Stegostoma tigrinum: one gene and its partner. The protein of the gene in region 2 interacts with the protein of the main gene of each other region in a pairwise test. Links are inferred from orthologs where the notes say so. Each region holds a gene or a part of one and is shown on either strand. Other genes may lie near its edges.

Region 1 (7,101 bases), on a different chromosome or scaffold from region 2:
CCTGCTCACATCATTAACTACGATTCCAAGGCACCACTCTCTCACAGAGGCAGACCTCCCAGATTCTTCCAACATGTAACACATTTGCAACACGCTGGCTCAGCTAGTAGCATTGCTGCCTCACAGCGCCAGGGACCTGGGTTCGATTCCATCCTCGGGCGACTGTATGGGTGGAGTTTACATATTCTCCCCATGGCCTGCATTGGGTTTCCTCCAGATGCTTTGCTTTCCTCCCACAGTCCAAAGATATGCAGGTTAGGTGGATTGGCCATGCTAAATTGCCTGTAGTGTCCAGGGGTGTGTAAGTTAGATGGATTAGACAGGGTATAGGGAAAGGATAGAAGAATGGGTCTGGGTGGGATGCTGTGGACTTGTTGGGCCTAATGGCCTGTTTCCACACCGTAGGAATTCTATGATTTAAACCCCAGCTGTGCACCATTTTAAACACTGTAATCCAGGAACTGCCCTTCATGTGTTGCTGTACAAATGCAAAGATCATGCTGAATGAGCCAATTTGGCACCACAATTCTGTGACAAGGACCTGAAGTTCTGGTGGCCTGGTTGTTGGAGACCATGGCTGTATTCTTTATTTAGGACAGGTGAAAGAGACCAAGGCACCAAATTATGCTAGACTAATTAAAGTAGGCCAGTTGGGTTACTGCGGTATCCATGATCTGGAGGAATGCCAGCAATGCTGCAAGAGTTTATCTGAACTTGGAATTAATATTTTATCAAAAGAAATTGAAACTATTTAACCCAAACAAAAACCTCTGTTTTGGTTTACATCTGTAAGGAGATGAGAGAAATGACCTGATGTTACCAAGCTTGAAAAACGATGAACCCCACTTTCAAATATACAAACCAGATTGTCTTTCAGTATGTGTCCTTGACAGAGCATAAGAGATGGATTTGTGACTGCAGAACTAGAGAAAGTTCTCTCTTGATGTTCTGAAAAGGAAAAGTGCCCAGTGATACAAATGATTAAAAAGAAATGTCAGAACAGTGAGAATTCAGATATTTGCTGTTGATGAAGATAAAAGATAGTGATTAAACAACTACGGTTTCAGGTTAAATTCTTATACCCAAGGACCCGCTAAAGACTGCAAAGTTTTCTTTTGTAAATCTTCCTTTTGTACTGAGCCCTATCTCTTCTTAACTTTGCATTTCTGTCTATCTATGTTTGATTTTGCATTTCTTTGTTATTTTTCTCAAGGTTAGCATATTATAATATTGCAGCTTCTTTCACTCATGAAAACACTGTAGTTGGCTCCTTATCAGTACAGTAGATATTGGATAGCTACATTTTGAAAACACACCAACGCTTGACGGACAAGGAGAACCCATGGGTTCTGGAACAGTTGGAATGACTGTAGAGGAGCTGGGCACATTTTGTTTCCACACTGTTTGCAAGTTTGCAGCTTTCATATGGTCCATTTGCTTGTTCAGGACTGATCTACCTACCCAAACTTTGTATATTAGTGGACCTGATGATCATGCCTCTTTCCTATGCAGGTCCATTCCCATGGTTCCTATTACTGAACTTTGTCCCGAAGTAAACTGTCTCTCTCATTTAGCAGAGTCCTGGGTCTGGCATTGACATTCCTAATGTCATTTCACCCTCCCCACCCCTCCAGGTCCAGGAAGATCAGATTTAACCTGGTGCAGAATCTTCTCCCCATTAGCAACTCTGCTGGAGCTATCCTTGTAGTTACATGATGGGTTGCCCTATAATCAAACAGGAACCGACAGAGTTTGGTATCGAGTGAAGCTGTAGGCTGCTTCTGTAAGCTTACCTCCAATGTTTGCACAGCCCTTTCTGCCAGACCATTAGATGATGGAGGGTATGGAGTTTACTTGTACGTCAAATACCACTCGATTTTAGGAAATACTCAAATGCCCACTTGTAAATGCTGGCCTGTTATTTGCGACAACACCTGTAGAGTCCGTGTATTCCAAAAGATGCACGCAGTATTTCTGTCATCATCCCAGTGTTTGATGAATGCACATCCAGCCATTTCGAGTGGGTGTCCACAATGATGAAGAATATTGAATGCATGAAAGGATCTGCATAGTTGAAGTGCAAATGAGTTTACCTGGCCATTCTCACAAATGTCAGGGATTTGCCAGCAGTAATTTTGCCTTTTGTCCTTGTTGGCACTCTGACACTGCCCCACCAATGCAGCTATGTCTGCATCCAGCCCTGGCCACTGAACATAACTTCTTGCTAACATCTTCATTTTGGAAGCCCCTGAATGACTCTTGTGGAGTTCAGCCACAATCTGGCAGGACCTTTGCTTGGGACAATCATTCTTGCTCCCCATAAATAATACGCCAGCCTCTACTGTGACCTGGTTTCTCCAGGTCTAAAAAGATTTCAGCTCTGGTTGTGATGGCCCTTTGCTTCTCACCACACCACCACCCCCGCCTCGCTACCAGTTCATCCTGTTTTGCCAGGACTGGATCCTTCTGTGTCCAAAGTCTGATATTATAGAACATAGAACATTACAGCACAGTACAGGCCTTTCGGCCCTCGATGTTGTGCCGACCTGTCATACCAATCTGAAGTCCATCTAACCTACTCTATTCCATGTACGTCCATATGCTTGTCCAATGGTGACTTAAATGAACTTAAAGTTGGTGAATCTACTACCGTTGCAGGCAACGCGTTCCATTCCCTTACTACTCTCTGAGTAAAGAAATTACCTCTGACATCTGTCCTATATCTTTCACCCCTCAATTTAAAACTATGCCTCCTCGTGCTCGCCATCACCATCCTAGGAAAAAGGTTCTCCCTATCCACCCTATCTAACCCTCTGATTATTTTATATGTCTCAATTAAGTCACCTCTCAACCTTCTTCTCTCTAACGAAAACAGCCTCAAGTACCTCAGCCTTTCCTCATAAGATCTTCCCTCCATTCCAGGCAACATCCCAGTAAATGTCCTCTGCACCCTTCCAAAACTTCCACATCCTCCTTATAATGCGGTGACCAGAACTGTATGCAATACTCCAAGTGCCAGAGTTTTGCACAGCTGCAGCATATTGTCAGCTGTGACTGGAAGTGTGCCCAGAAGACTTAAAACCAGAACGAACTCTTCCAGGGGTTGTACCATCAGTGGTGTATCTGCCAGTGGGAGGCTGCCCAATGCATCTGTGTTTGCTACTTGGCCTCCCAGACAGTGTTCCAATTTGTAATTATATGCAGTTAGCATTTCAGGAGGTTTGGGGTCATAATGTTCCTTAATTAAATCCAACAACCCTTGAAAGGTTTTAGTATCTACTGCCTAAGGAAAAGTTAGGCTCCTTATAACTGGAAAAAATTGCAGATCCACAAACTGTCAGGAGAATTATTCGTTGCTTTTCATCTGCCCCGAAGTAATATTCTTTCCACAGCCTTCAATAGCAGGATCGAACAAATCAAGTTTCCCAAATAACTGCACGATGCCAGAAATGCTTACCCCAACTCAAAAACAAATGCTGCGAGTGAATTTCTACAGGACCGAGCTTTTCACTTGTCACCACTGAAATAACTCCACAGAGGCCGGTATACTGTCACCAAGTCATCCTTTATTTACATGTGGAGTTCATGCCTGACAATCCAGTTCTCATCTGTCAGGCAGGGCTCCCTAATTGGACCATATTAACAGCCCTAATCAGGGAACTCATTCTATGAGAAACACTGCACTCATCTTTTGGTGTACACGGACTCGCAGAGGTGTTTTCGTAAATAACAGGCTGACCTTGTTACAATCACTGCCAACACAATGGAAAACAATGCAGAAACGATAGGAGATTGACAATCAGTCAAAATGCTCAGAGAGCCTTTGCAGATGTCAGGGACTGAATGACCTCCATGTGCATCAACTCAATGAGTTTTAAAAAGGGTGCACTTTTGTTTTATTTAATGGAACTGGGTGAACCCAGGGTATCCTTACAAGTTTATTTAAGCAAGTATCTGTGAGGAGAACAGACAGTGGAAATATGACTTTTTTTTCAGCACAACACTTGTCATCTGGTTAGCCACTTGTTAAAATATGTCTTCGTCTGTAGTGAGACCTCCGGAGGGAGGGTGGTGCTAGAACAAGATATTTCTTCTCTCAGACTGCTTGGACTGTCTATTTTACTGAAGGTTTTGAGCGGATGATTGGAGAAGGCTCGTGGTCAGTTTGAGAAAGAAAGGGGGTTGGGAGCTGATCAGTTTTCCGACAGAGAGAAAAGCAGCAATGGCAGCGGCGCATAGAGTCATCGTGTATGGAGGAAGGGGAGCTTTGGGCACGAAATGTGTTGAGTTTTTTAAATCCAAACACTGGGTAAGTTTCAGCAACGAGGGAACTCGCAGACACACCGGGAGACAATTTATTGGGAGGCGGGTAGTGAAAAGAATGCAGTTCGTCGTTTCAGATCACAACCTATCACTTCGCCATATGTTACAATGAATTAAAGGATAATCGGCGGCGTTCGCACTGCATTAAACACAGTTACGAGTGAAGCTGCGGCTGAGTTCACAAACAGGCCATGACTTTCACGTTATGCCGGAGTTTCATTTCTGTCCGAACCTAAATCACCGTCTCCTTCACTGTCTGATAACTTTTCTCGGTTGCAGTGGGTTGCCTCCATTGATCTCATGTCTAATGAAGAAGCGAATGCAAATATCATCGTGAAAACGAGCGAGTCCTTCACTGAGCAGGCGGAACAGGTAATAATTATTGCAGTGAATGCTGCTGGCAGATCCAGGTAGACGACATTGGACCTTAGTTGTAGCTTTTAATGTCGGGCCTTCCACAGGGCTGGATGAATTAGACATTGGGGATTGACATTTTGCAAATGCCTTGCATTGCCGCAGGTTACCACAGAGGTTGCCAGTCTTCTTGGGGAACAGAAGGTGGATGCCATTATTTGCGTAGCAGGAGGATGGGCTGGTGGCAGTGCAAAGGCAACGTGTAAGTCTATATTGCAGTTTGTTAAAGCTTATGTTCATATTTTATAGTTCTGTAGGCTAAGAAAACTTATGTTATGCTGAGATCTCATGTAGTTGAATGAACGTATGTTGATGAGTTCTATTTTCACAATTACATCTTACAGATTCTTTTAACTGCACACTGCTTTAGTCAGTAATATGGTTTAATCCAAAAATCCCATTTCTAGTAGAGTACTTAAGCAAGGAAACAAGAACTGTTGTATTTATTGACCTTGAGTTGGCATTCTTTGCCCGTGATATGCCATTGGAAATTTTTTCTGCTTAAAACTGACCAATTATAAGCTTTAGCACAGAAAATAATGGTAAATATATTTCATAAATGCTTTTAGATAGTTGATTACAGACATATGTAAATAGAAGTAATCCAGACTTATTTGTTAAGTACCAATAAAGATGAAAAAAATCATTGTAATGATATAAAAATAATTTTATGATGCTCCAAAGATGTGATCTCTTTTTCTCTTTGTTTTGCTGCAGTTTTTCCTTAGTTTATATTGAACATTGGAAATAATCAGTATCTGATATTCATTTTTCAAAGCTCTTTTTAAAAATGCTGAGTTGATGTGGAAACAGAGTGTGTGGACATCAACAATCTCCAGTCATTTAGCTACAAAACATCTGAAAGATGATGGCTTGTTGACACTGACAGGGGCAAGTCCTGCTTTGAAGGGTACAGCAGGTGAGCAAAGTTTCTCCTATTACCCCTTGACGCATAAGCTGACGTCTGTCAGTGTTAGCACTTATACCTGTTCACTGTATTCAATGTAATGAATCTCCTGAAGTGTCATGTGATGCAGTGGCATTGTCTCTGTCTCTGAACCAAAAGATCTGTGATCAAGCTAGCTTAAGTAATTTTCAGGGGACAGATGGGCCAGGTTCACATTTTGCTTTCGAGTCTGGCATGTCACAGAGATGTGTCCTAATGTGTCCAAACAGGTTAGTTTAAAAACAATATATCTGTGCAGTACTGGATGTAATTCCTGAAATTGTTAAAAGAATGGGCTCATATGGACATTGGTAGTGTCCCTACTCCTGGGCCAGAGAGCCTAGTTAAAGGCGCAACTGTCCTGATGATGTCATAACATAGAACATTACAGCACAGTACAGGCCCTTCGGCCCTCGATGTTGTGCTGACCTGTCATACCGATCTCAAGCCCATCTAACCTACACTATTCCATGTATGTCCATATGCTTATCCAATGACGCCTTAAATGTACCTAAAGTTGGTGAATCTACTACCGTTGCAGGCAAAGCATTCCATTCCCTTACTACTCTCTGAGTAAAGAAACTACCTCTGACATCTGACCTATATCTTTCACCCCTCAATTTAAAGCTATGCCTCCTCGTGCTGGCTGTCACCATCCTAGGAAAAAGGCTCTCCCTATCCACCCTATCTAACCCTCTGATTATTTTATATGTTTCATTTAAGTCACCTCTCAACCTTCTTCTCTCTAACGAAAACAGCCTCAAGTCCCTCAGCCTTTCCTCGTAAGACCTTCCCTCCAAACCAGGCAACATCCTAGTAAATCTCCTCCACACCTTTCCAAAGCTTCCACATCCTTCTTATAATGCGGTGACCAGAACTGTACACAATACTCCAAGTGCGGCCACACAAGAGCTTTGTACAGCTTCACCATTACCTCTTGGTTCCAGAACTCGATCCCTCTATTAATAAAAGCTAAAACAGTGTTTGCCTTCTTAACAGCCCTGTCAACCTGGGTGGCAACTTTCAAGGATCTGTGTACATGGACACCGAGATCTCTCTGCTCATCTACACTACCAAGATTCTTACCATTAGCCCAGTGCTTTGCCTTCCGGTTACTCCTGCCAAAGTGCATCACCTCACACTTGTCTGCATTAAACTCTATTTGCCACCTCTCAGCCCAGCTCTGCAGCTTATCTATGTCTCTCTGCAACCTACAGCATCCTTCGTTACTATCCACAACTCCACCGACCTTAGTGTCGTCTGCAAATTTACTAACCCATCCATCTACGCCCTCATCCAGGTAATTTATAAAAATGACAAACAGCAGTGGACCCAACACCGACCCTTGCGGTACACCACTAGTAACTGGTCTCCAGGATGAACATTTCCCATCAACTACCACCCTCTGTCTTCTTTCA
Region 2 (7,382 bases):
CTGGGCTGGATTTGGGATGCAGTGGGTGGACCTGCCTCCCGAACGTGTTCTTCCTCTCACCTCAAGCCACACCTCCATTCCCTACCTCCTAATCTCATCCCACCCCCTTGACCTGTCCATCCTCCCTACCTCCCCACCGATACTCACCTCTACAGTCTCCATTCCCGCTCCTTTAACTTGTCTGTCTCCTCTCCGTATCTTCGATCTGCCTCTCCCTCTCTCCCTTTTTATTTCAGAACCCTCTCCCCATCCCCCTTTTCTGATCAAGGGTCTACGCCCGAAACGTCAGCTTGTGTGCTCCTAAGAAACTGCTTGGCCTGCTGTGTTCATCTAACTCCACACTTTGTTATCTCAGATTCTCCAGCATCTGCAGTTCCCATTATCTCTGATATAACATCAGTGGTAAGTCAGTTTCCAACAAAAAGTTCAGAGATTGCAAGAACCTCAAGATACTGCAGCTAGCGACAACAGTGAGGAGCTGGAGGAACACTGCAAGCCAGGCAGTATCAGAGAAGCAGGAAAGTTGATGATTCAAATTGTGACTGAAGAAGGATCCTGACATGAAACGTCAACTTTCAAGCTCCTCTGATGCTGCCTGGCCTGCAGTGTTCCTCCAGCTCCACACTGTACTGTAGCCAACAACCAGCTTTTGTGGACCTCAGATACTTACTACATTTTTGACCACAATTTGGAAGAAGAGCAGTTAATAACCATTGCTTAATCCCTTGAATTGTGAAAAGAGCCATGATATGAAAAGTTCACATGGTCATAACTATTTATTGAAATCCAAGTGAAACACTGGAGAAACAAACCACAGCAAGTTTAAGTCCAACATCAGAGCCTCAGCATATATTAAGACTAAAACTGCAGTACTGAAGGAGTGCAGCAATGGCACATGGCGTCCTTCCGTAAATTTTAGAAAGGAGGTCCAACTATTTGCTCACTTGAATGTCAAAACCCCGTGTCCTGGTTAATCCCAAGAATCCACACCACAGATTACCTGGCCATCATCACATGCTGTAGCACAGAGCTGACAGAGCACAAATTGATTGCTTTAGTTCCAAAATTACAGTGACTACATCATTCATTGGTTCTAAAGTGATGTGTGACAGTCATCAGGAAAAATACAACATAAATGCAAGATTTCTAAAACATGGTTGCCATTTTGGAGAAGAAATTGACTTGCTGTGTAGGCGAACAATGTAGGTAAAGTTAAATTCAGTCAAGGCATCTTAAACTTTTTGTTGAAAGTAGGCTTATATTTATGTAGAGTTTAGTTTTAAAGAATTAAAGATAAACACTATAAGGTATCTATGGACATTGGGACAGTTAATAGGGAGGCAATAAGCAATACAATCATAAAAGAGCAGTTTTCAGGAGACTTTCAGAAAGGTTACAAATGACTATGATCATAAAGCTGTACAGCATGTCCAACTCGGCCATGCCGTCCAGATATCCTAAATGAATCTGTTCCCATTTGCAGGCACTTGGCCCATATCCCTCTAAATCCATCCTATTTATATAACTATCCTGATGCCTCTTAGAAGTTGTAACTGTACCTGCCTCCACCACTTCCTCTGACAGGTCATTCCATGTATGCACCATTATCTGTGTGGAAAAGCTGCCCCTTAGGACCTTTTAAGTCTTTCCCCTTTCACCTTAAACCTATGCCCTCTAGTTTTGGACTCCCCTGCCCCAGGGAAAAGACCTTGACTATTCAACCTATCCATGCCCCTCATGATTTTACAAACCTCTATAAGGTCACTTCTCAGTCTCTGATGCTCCCAGGAAAATAGCCCCAGCCTATTCAGCCTCCCCCAACAGTTCAAACCGTCCATGCCTGGCAATATCCTTGTAAATCTTTTCTGAACCCTTTCAAGTTATACAAAATCCTTCCTATAGCAAGGAGACCAGAACTGAATGCAGTATTCCAGAAGTGGCCTAAGCAATGTCCTGTACAGCCGCAACATGACATCCCAACTCCTAATCTCAACGCACTGACCAATTGTAAAGACGTTTAGCCGAATGCACTGATTTCACATGAAAACGTGTTGCATACACTTTCAACTGAAACTTAGAAGGTAAAATCAATCTCTCTCCTTTGGTTAGTGTAGATTAACAATTCAAATGTAAGTCACATAAACATAAGAAAAACAGAAGTACATTTAAAAATAATAACCACATAAAATATAACACATTGTTATTGATAAGATCTTCATCGATTCATCTTTCTCCTTCAGCTGCTGGCTGGGCTGGCATGCTTTTTCAGCTTCTGTCATTTCACATTTCCAACATTCAGAGCATACTTTACTTGGAGATCTGGCATGGCCATATCATAGAACAACAATCTGCACTTACATATTGCATTTAATGTAATAAAAGGTCCCATGGTGCTTCACAACAAAATTTGACCAGACGTAGTACTAGGGCAGCTAGTGAATAGCTTGGTCAAAGAGATAGACTTTGCAGGCCACCTTCAAGGAGAAAGAAATAGAAGCAAGATTTGGGAAGGAATTTGAAAACTTAAGTGCCTTAGTAAAGGAAAGCAGAGTCAATAATGGCGCAGCAATTAAAATTGAAGATGCTTGAGGAGAAAATAAAATGAATGCAGTCTTCATGGAGGGCTGTGCATCAGAAGGGCATTAGACAGATATAGATGGGCAAAGACAAGGATAAAAAATTTAAAATTGAAATGTTGCTTGACTGGGAAACATTGTAGGTCAGCAAACATAGATGTGATCGTTAAACAGGACCCAAACAGGAGTAAGAACCTTGGGCAGCAGAGTTTTAGATAAACTTGAGTTTAGGGGGGTGTACAATATAGGAGGCAGAAATGCATTTGAACAGACCAGTCTTCAGTTAACAAGGGCATACAAGGGTCTCAGAAGTATTTAAATAAAAACAGGAACAAACCTAGCAATGTTTTGGAAGTGCAAACTCATTCTTAGCAAGGTGGTGGAAAAATATTTAAAGCTCATCTTGGAGTCAAATATGACACAGAGGCTCACGTAGTTTTCAAGGAGATATGGAGTCTGTAAACTAGGGAACAGTTTGCAGCAGGGAGCAAAGAAAATTACTTCTAAAATTCAGCGTGCAACAATTCTTCCATATTCTACCTTATTACTCAATGCTATGCATCATTATAGACCTAAAAGCAATTGCAAAATATTAGCTGCTCTCTACAAGTTACAATATTAAGTTCTGTAATTGTAAAGTCTTGACAAAGCTATCACAAGTTAACATACTACCAGCACAAAAATTACACTGCAATTGCTGAGGAAAAAAATGCTGTACCCTATTATAATGAAAATTACATCACTACAAAATAAATTGTTGAATTTCTAACTCATAAAAAATTACTCCATGTACAAAGAAACATTGAAGCAGCCATTGTACAAGGGATCACTGTAAATGCTGCTCCATTTAGAGGAATCCTCACCCACCAAAAAAAACACCAACTACAGAAGAAAAAGAATTGTCAAGTTTACAGAAAAATAAGTACAAATGAGCAAGTGAATAACAGAAGAGATATGCACAAAATCTACAAGTGGATGCATACAGTAAACTGTATTAACTCCGACAAGCAAACAGTAATACGGCATACTAATCAGTCTATGAAAGATTAGAACCCACAGCTTTAATATAAAAAATTGGTTAACAAACTAAAACTTGAATTGTGCAGACGGGATAGAGGCCACAAGTTTGAGGAAGTGGGTGCTACGAATGATTTTTATGCTGAAAATGTGCTGCTTTTTTTATAAAGAGAAAGGAAGAGCACGGTTGAAGGGAGTGGAATGAAAGAACACAAACCGGTTGCTGGATATTTCCTGGCTGCGTCCTAGTTGGCTTGCAGCGTTTCTGCATCTTTTAGCTCTCTCTCACTTCCTCCGTGTCTGTGCGCGTGTGTCAGACAGAACTGAAGCTTGTTTGAATTTCCTCTCCCAGTCCCAGTTAGCAGCACGATAAGTCTCAGCATTTTTAAACAAAAAGCATTTCTAAAGGGCCCTTCTTTTGCCCCCAGACCTTTACCTCCCCCACAATCACTTACCGGGGACGCTGCAGTCGGCGCAGATGTCGTTACTCCTCAATCTTTTCGACATGGACAGAGGCAGTTAACTAATAATGCCGTTTAATCGGGATCTTAAATAAAAACAAAAATCACACGACACACGCTAAAATTTAACGGGAGACGCGTTTTAATTCTAACTACAAACTGCCGTCAACATGAAGTTTGCACTCAGGTTACAGTTCCTGTCAGACTCGCCTCTGGCTCAAGCAGCTTGGAGACGTCGAATGGTATGCCGGGATCTTGGAGGACTGCCCGGGCGTCACGCATGCGTATACAAGCCAAACCAAACGCAGGCGTCGGAAGACGAGGAGCGCGAGGGGGGGAAAGCTGAAGTTATAAAAATGTGGTTTCCTGAACAGAAACTTTTCACACATTACTTTTCCCCCTTGCAAAATATTTTTTAATGTTACCAAATGCGACATCATGTTGAATGGAACATGTAGACCTGTCACTTTATTCGTGAGCCGAGAAAGTAATCAGCTAGTGTTTACCTGCCGATCCACTCGATACTTTAGTTTGGGCTGAACCACAATTAAAGGGAAGAGGAGGGGGGTTCCTGTAGTGTCGAAAATGGTTGATAGTGGAAAAAAGTGAAGCAAAGCATCAAGTCGTTCGACAAGTAATAATTTCACTATATCACTCTTATAAGCATACAGATCAGCAAATATGCCGACATTTATTGAAAAGGGTGCTAGTGTGCTTATTATAGACCCCTCCTCTAGGCTGGATGGATTGTATTTCCTTGTTGTCCATCTCTTCCTGTAAAGTTTTTTTGGAAAGTTTCAGAAGTTCTGTTGTTTTCTCTCCTCACCCTCCCGCTGTCCTCTTTTCACTTTAGAGGGAGGGGTTTATAGAGGAAAGGGCGGAGGTCGATTGAAGCTGAAGAACTAGGATGTGTTCATTGGAAGACGTCAAGAACAAATATAAACTTCACCTGTTGGTCTGGCGCAACCAGTATAGAGAAGTTGAGGAAGAACTGAAACAAGTAAGTCACTGATACTGGGCAAGGTTTTATTCAGCGTATGATTGCGCTTAGAAACGGTTTAAACTTCACAGTAGGTGGTGGAGAGCTTCCCTGAGATGATGTTTATAGGTGAAGATATTTAAAGTCTGTTACTGCTTTGAAGATCTAATTTTCTTCAGCCGAAAGAATCCAAAATCTTCACTAGTTCCAAAGCAACGTGTTTCCCCTTTCAGTTTAGTTAAATGGTTGAAATAGGGCGTGTTGTAAATGTTCCAAGGTATTCACACAGTTAATTTTAAACATTATTTAGTTGGAATCTTTTGAGGCTACCATAAGTGCAAAAAAACTCAAGGCAAAACTGAAAGAACTACTGTTTCCTCAAGTTAAATTGTTTAAGTTGGATTGGAATTTTTCAATATCTGATTTCAAGATTGGAGATGATTAGTTGATATGTGAGACCGACAGTTACCCTTGTCTTGATTTAATATAAAATATAGTTTTTTTCACAACAGGAAAGATGATGCACTGTTCGAGAGAGGAGCAAACTTGATAGTTTGAATTACCTTTACTCAATTTACATTGCATTATCTTGTCACTAAATAAATCTTTATAATTTTTATGCTTTATATATACTTTACAATGGTCAGAGTGAAGTGGGAAGGAAGAACAGTCACTAAAGTTGTAAGTTCCCTTCACCATGAGGACTGACATTTATAATTAGTTCTACTATATTATAATGTGACACCTATTTGTTACTGAAACAGATGGCAGAGTTTGCAAGTATAATTTCTTTTTAAATGTGTGCAATTGGTACTTCTGTATATTGTCTTATTAAAGATTATTTTATTATGACAATATACAAAAACATTAAATGATACATTTTTTCCTAATTTAGGCAGAGTAAAAGCTAGGGAATGTGTATTTCCTTTCTTGGTGGCGGTGGGGGGGAAATCAACACTTAAGGGGTCAAATCTGCATTTGCACGATTGTTTTGTTTCCCACAAATTTTCCCCATTCTAACTTTCCTTGGCCCTTTCAATAACTGGAGGGTTGAGGAATCAGTCCAAATTTGCAGTGAAGGCACTGAAGGAGAATATACTTTTTTGGTTTCACCATTTTTCCCCAGCTCTATCAGAAGGCACTGACAACTTCAACCTTTAGTTGAGAATTATACGGCATAGGGGGAGGCTGTTTCACCATCACACCCTTGCCAGCTTCCTGAAAGAGCTTTTAATGTTTTAGTACCCTGGATGTCATCGGCATTCCTGCAACGTTATTTTTCCTCCTTCAATTCTTTTTGGAAAGTTACTTTTGAATCTCTTCCACCATCCTTTCAAGCAGTGTGCCATGGATTATTACAACTTGTTGCATTTAGTAAAAAACTTTAAATCTCCTTTGGTTCATTTGCCAGATATATTAAATTTCAAACATGCCATTGGCATAAGAACTAGAATCAGGAGTAGACCATCTGGCCCCTCAAGCATGCCCTGCCATTTAATAAGATCATGGCTGATCTTTGAGACTCAGCTCTACTTACCTGCCCACTCACCATGACCCTTAATTCCTTTACATTTCAAAATTTTATCTAGCCTTGCCTGAAAAGCATTCAGCAAGGTGGCTTCAACCACTTCACTGGGCAGGGAATTCCACAGATTCACAACCCTTTGGGTGAAGAAGTTCCTCCTGACCTCAGTCCTACATCTGCTTCCCTTTATTTTGAGGCGATGCCCTCCAGTCCTAGTTTCACCTGCTAGCAGAAACAACCTCCCTGCCTCCACTTATATCTATTCCCTTCATAATCTTATATGTTTCTATAAGATCGCCCCTCGTTCTTCTGAATTCCACTGAGTATAATCCCAGTCTACTCAGTCTTTCCACATAATCCAACCCCCTCAACTCTGGAATCAACCAAGGGAATCTCCTCTGCACCCCCTCCAGTGCTAGTATATCCCTTCTCGAGTAAGGAGACCAAAACTGCACACAGTACTCCAGTTGTGGCCTCACCAGGACCCTATACAGCTGCAGCATAGCCTCTGTTTTTAAACTCCATCCCTTGAGCAATGACCAGACAAAATTCCATTTGCCTTTTTAATCACCTGCTGCACCTGCAATCCCACCTACAGCGATTTATGCACAAGGACACCCAAGTCCCTGTGCACAGCAGCGTGCTGCAATTTTTTACCATTTAAAAAGTAGCCCATTTTGCTGTTATTCTTACCAAAATGGATGACCTCACACTTATAAACATTGTACTCCATCTGCCAGACCTTTGCCCCCTCACTTCGACTATCCATATCCCTCTGTAGACTGTCTTCTGCACACTTTTCTCTACCACTCACTTTAGTGGCA

The links.
Region 1: the proteins of ankrd13a (region 2) and dihydropteridine reductase-like interact in a two-hybrid assay, tested with the Homo sapiens proteins (2 studies listed by BioGRID). The two-hybrid records come from large-scale screens. The link is inferred for Stegostoma tigrinum from reciprocal best matches to the Homo sapiens genes ANKRD13A and QDPR.

The regions. Positions count from the first base shown.
Region 1 is NC_081354.1:83,357,866-83,364,966, reverse strand, and holds the start of dihydropteridine reductase-like, read left to right. Parts: upstream 1-4,093; 5' UTR 4,094-4,222; coding exon 4,223-4,309; intron 4,310-4,602; coding exon 4,603-4,695; intron 4,696-4,842; coding exon 4,843-4,939; intron 4,940-5,515; coding exon 5,516-5,656; intron 5,657-7,101. UniProt on the Homo sapiens protein: Catalyzes the conversion of quinonoid dihydrobiopterin into tetrahydrobiopterin.
Region 2 is NC_081379.1:12,953,738-12,961,119, forward strand, and holds the start of ankrd13a (ankyrin repeat domain-containing protein 13A), read left to right. Parts: upstream 1-4,357; 5' UTR 4,358-4,541; exon of another isoform or gene 4,542-4,688; intron 4,689-4,755; exon of another isoform or gene 4,756-4,907; 5' UTR 4,908-4,961; coding exon 4,962-5,054; intron 5,055-7,382. Other genes in the region: ARF GTPase-activating protein GIT2a, read right to left, coding at 4,049-4,100. UniProt on the Homo sapiens protein: Ubiquitin-binding protein that specifically recognizes and binds 'Lys-63'-linked ubiquitin. Does not bind 'Lys-48'-linked ubiquitin.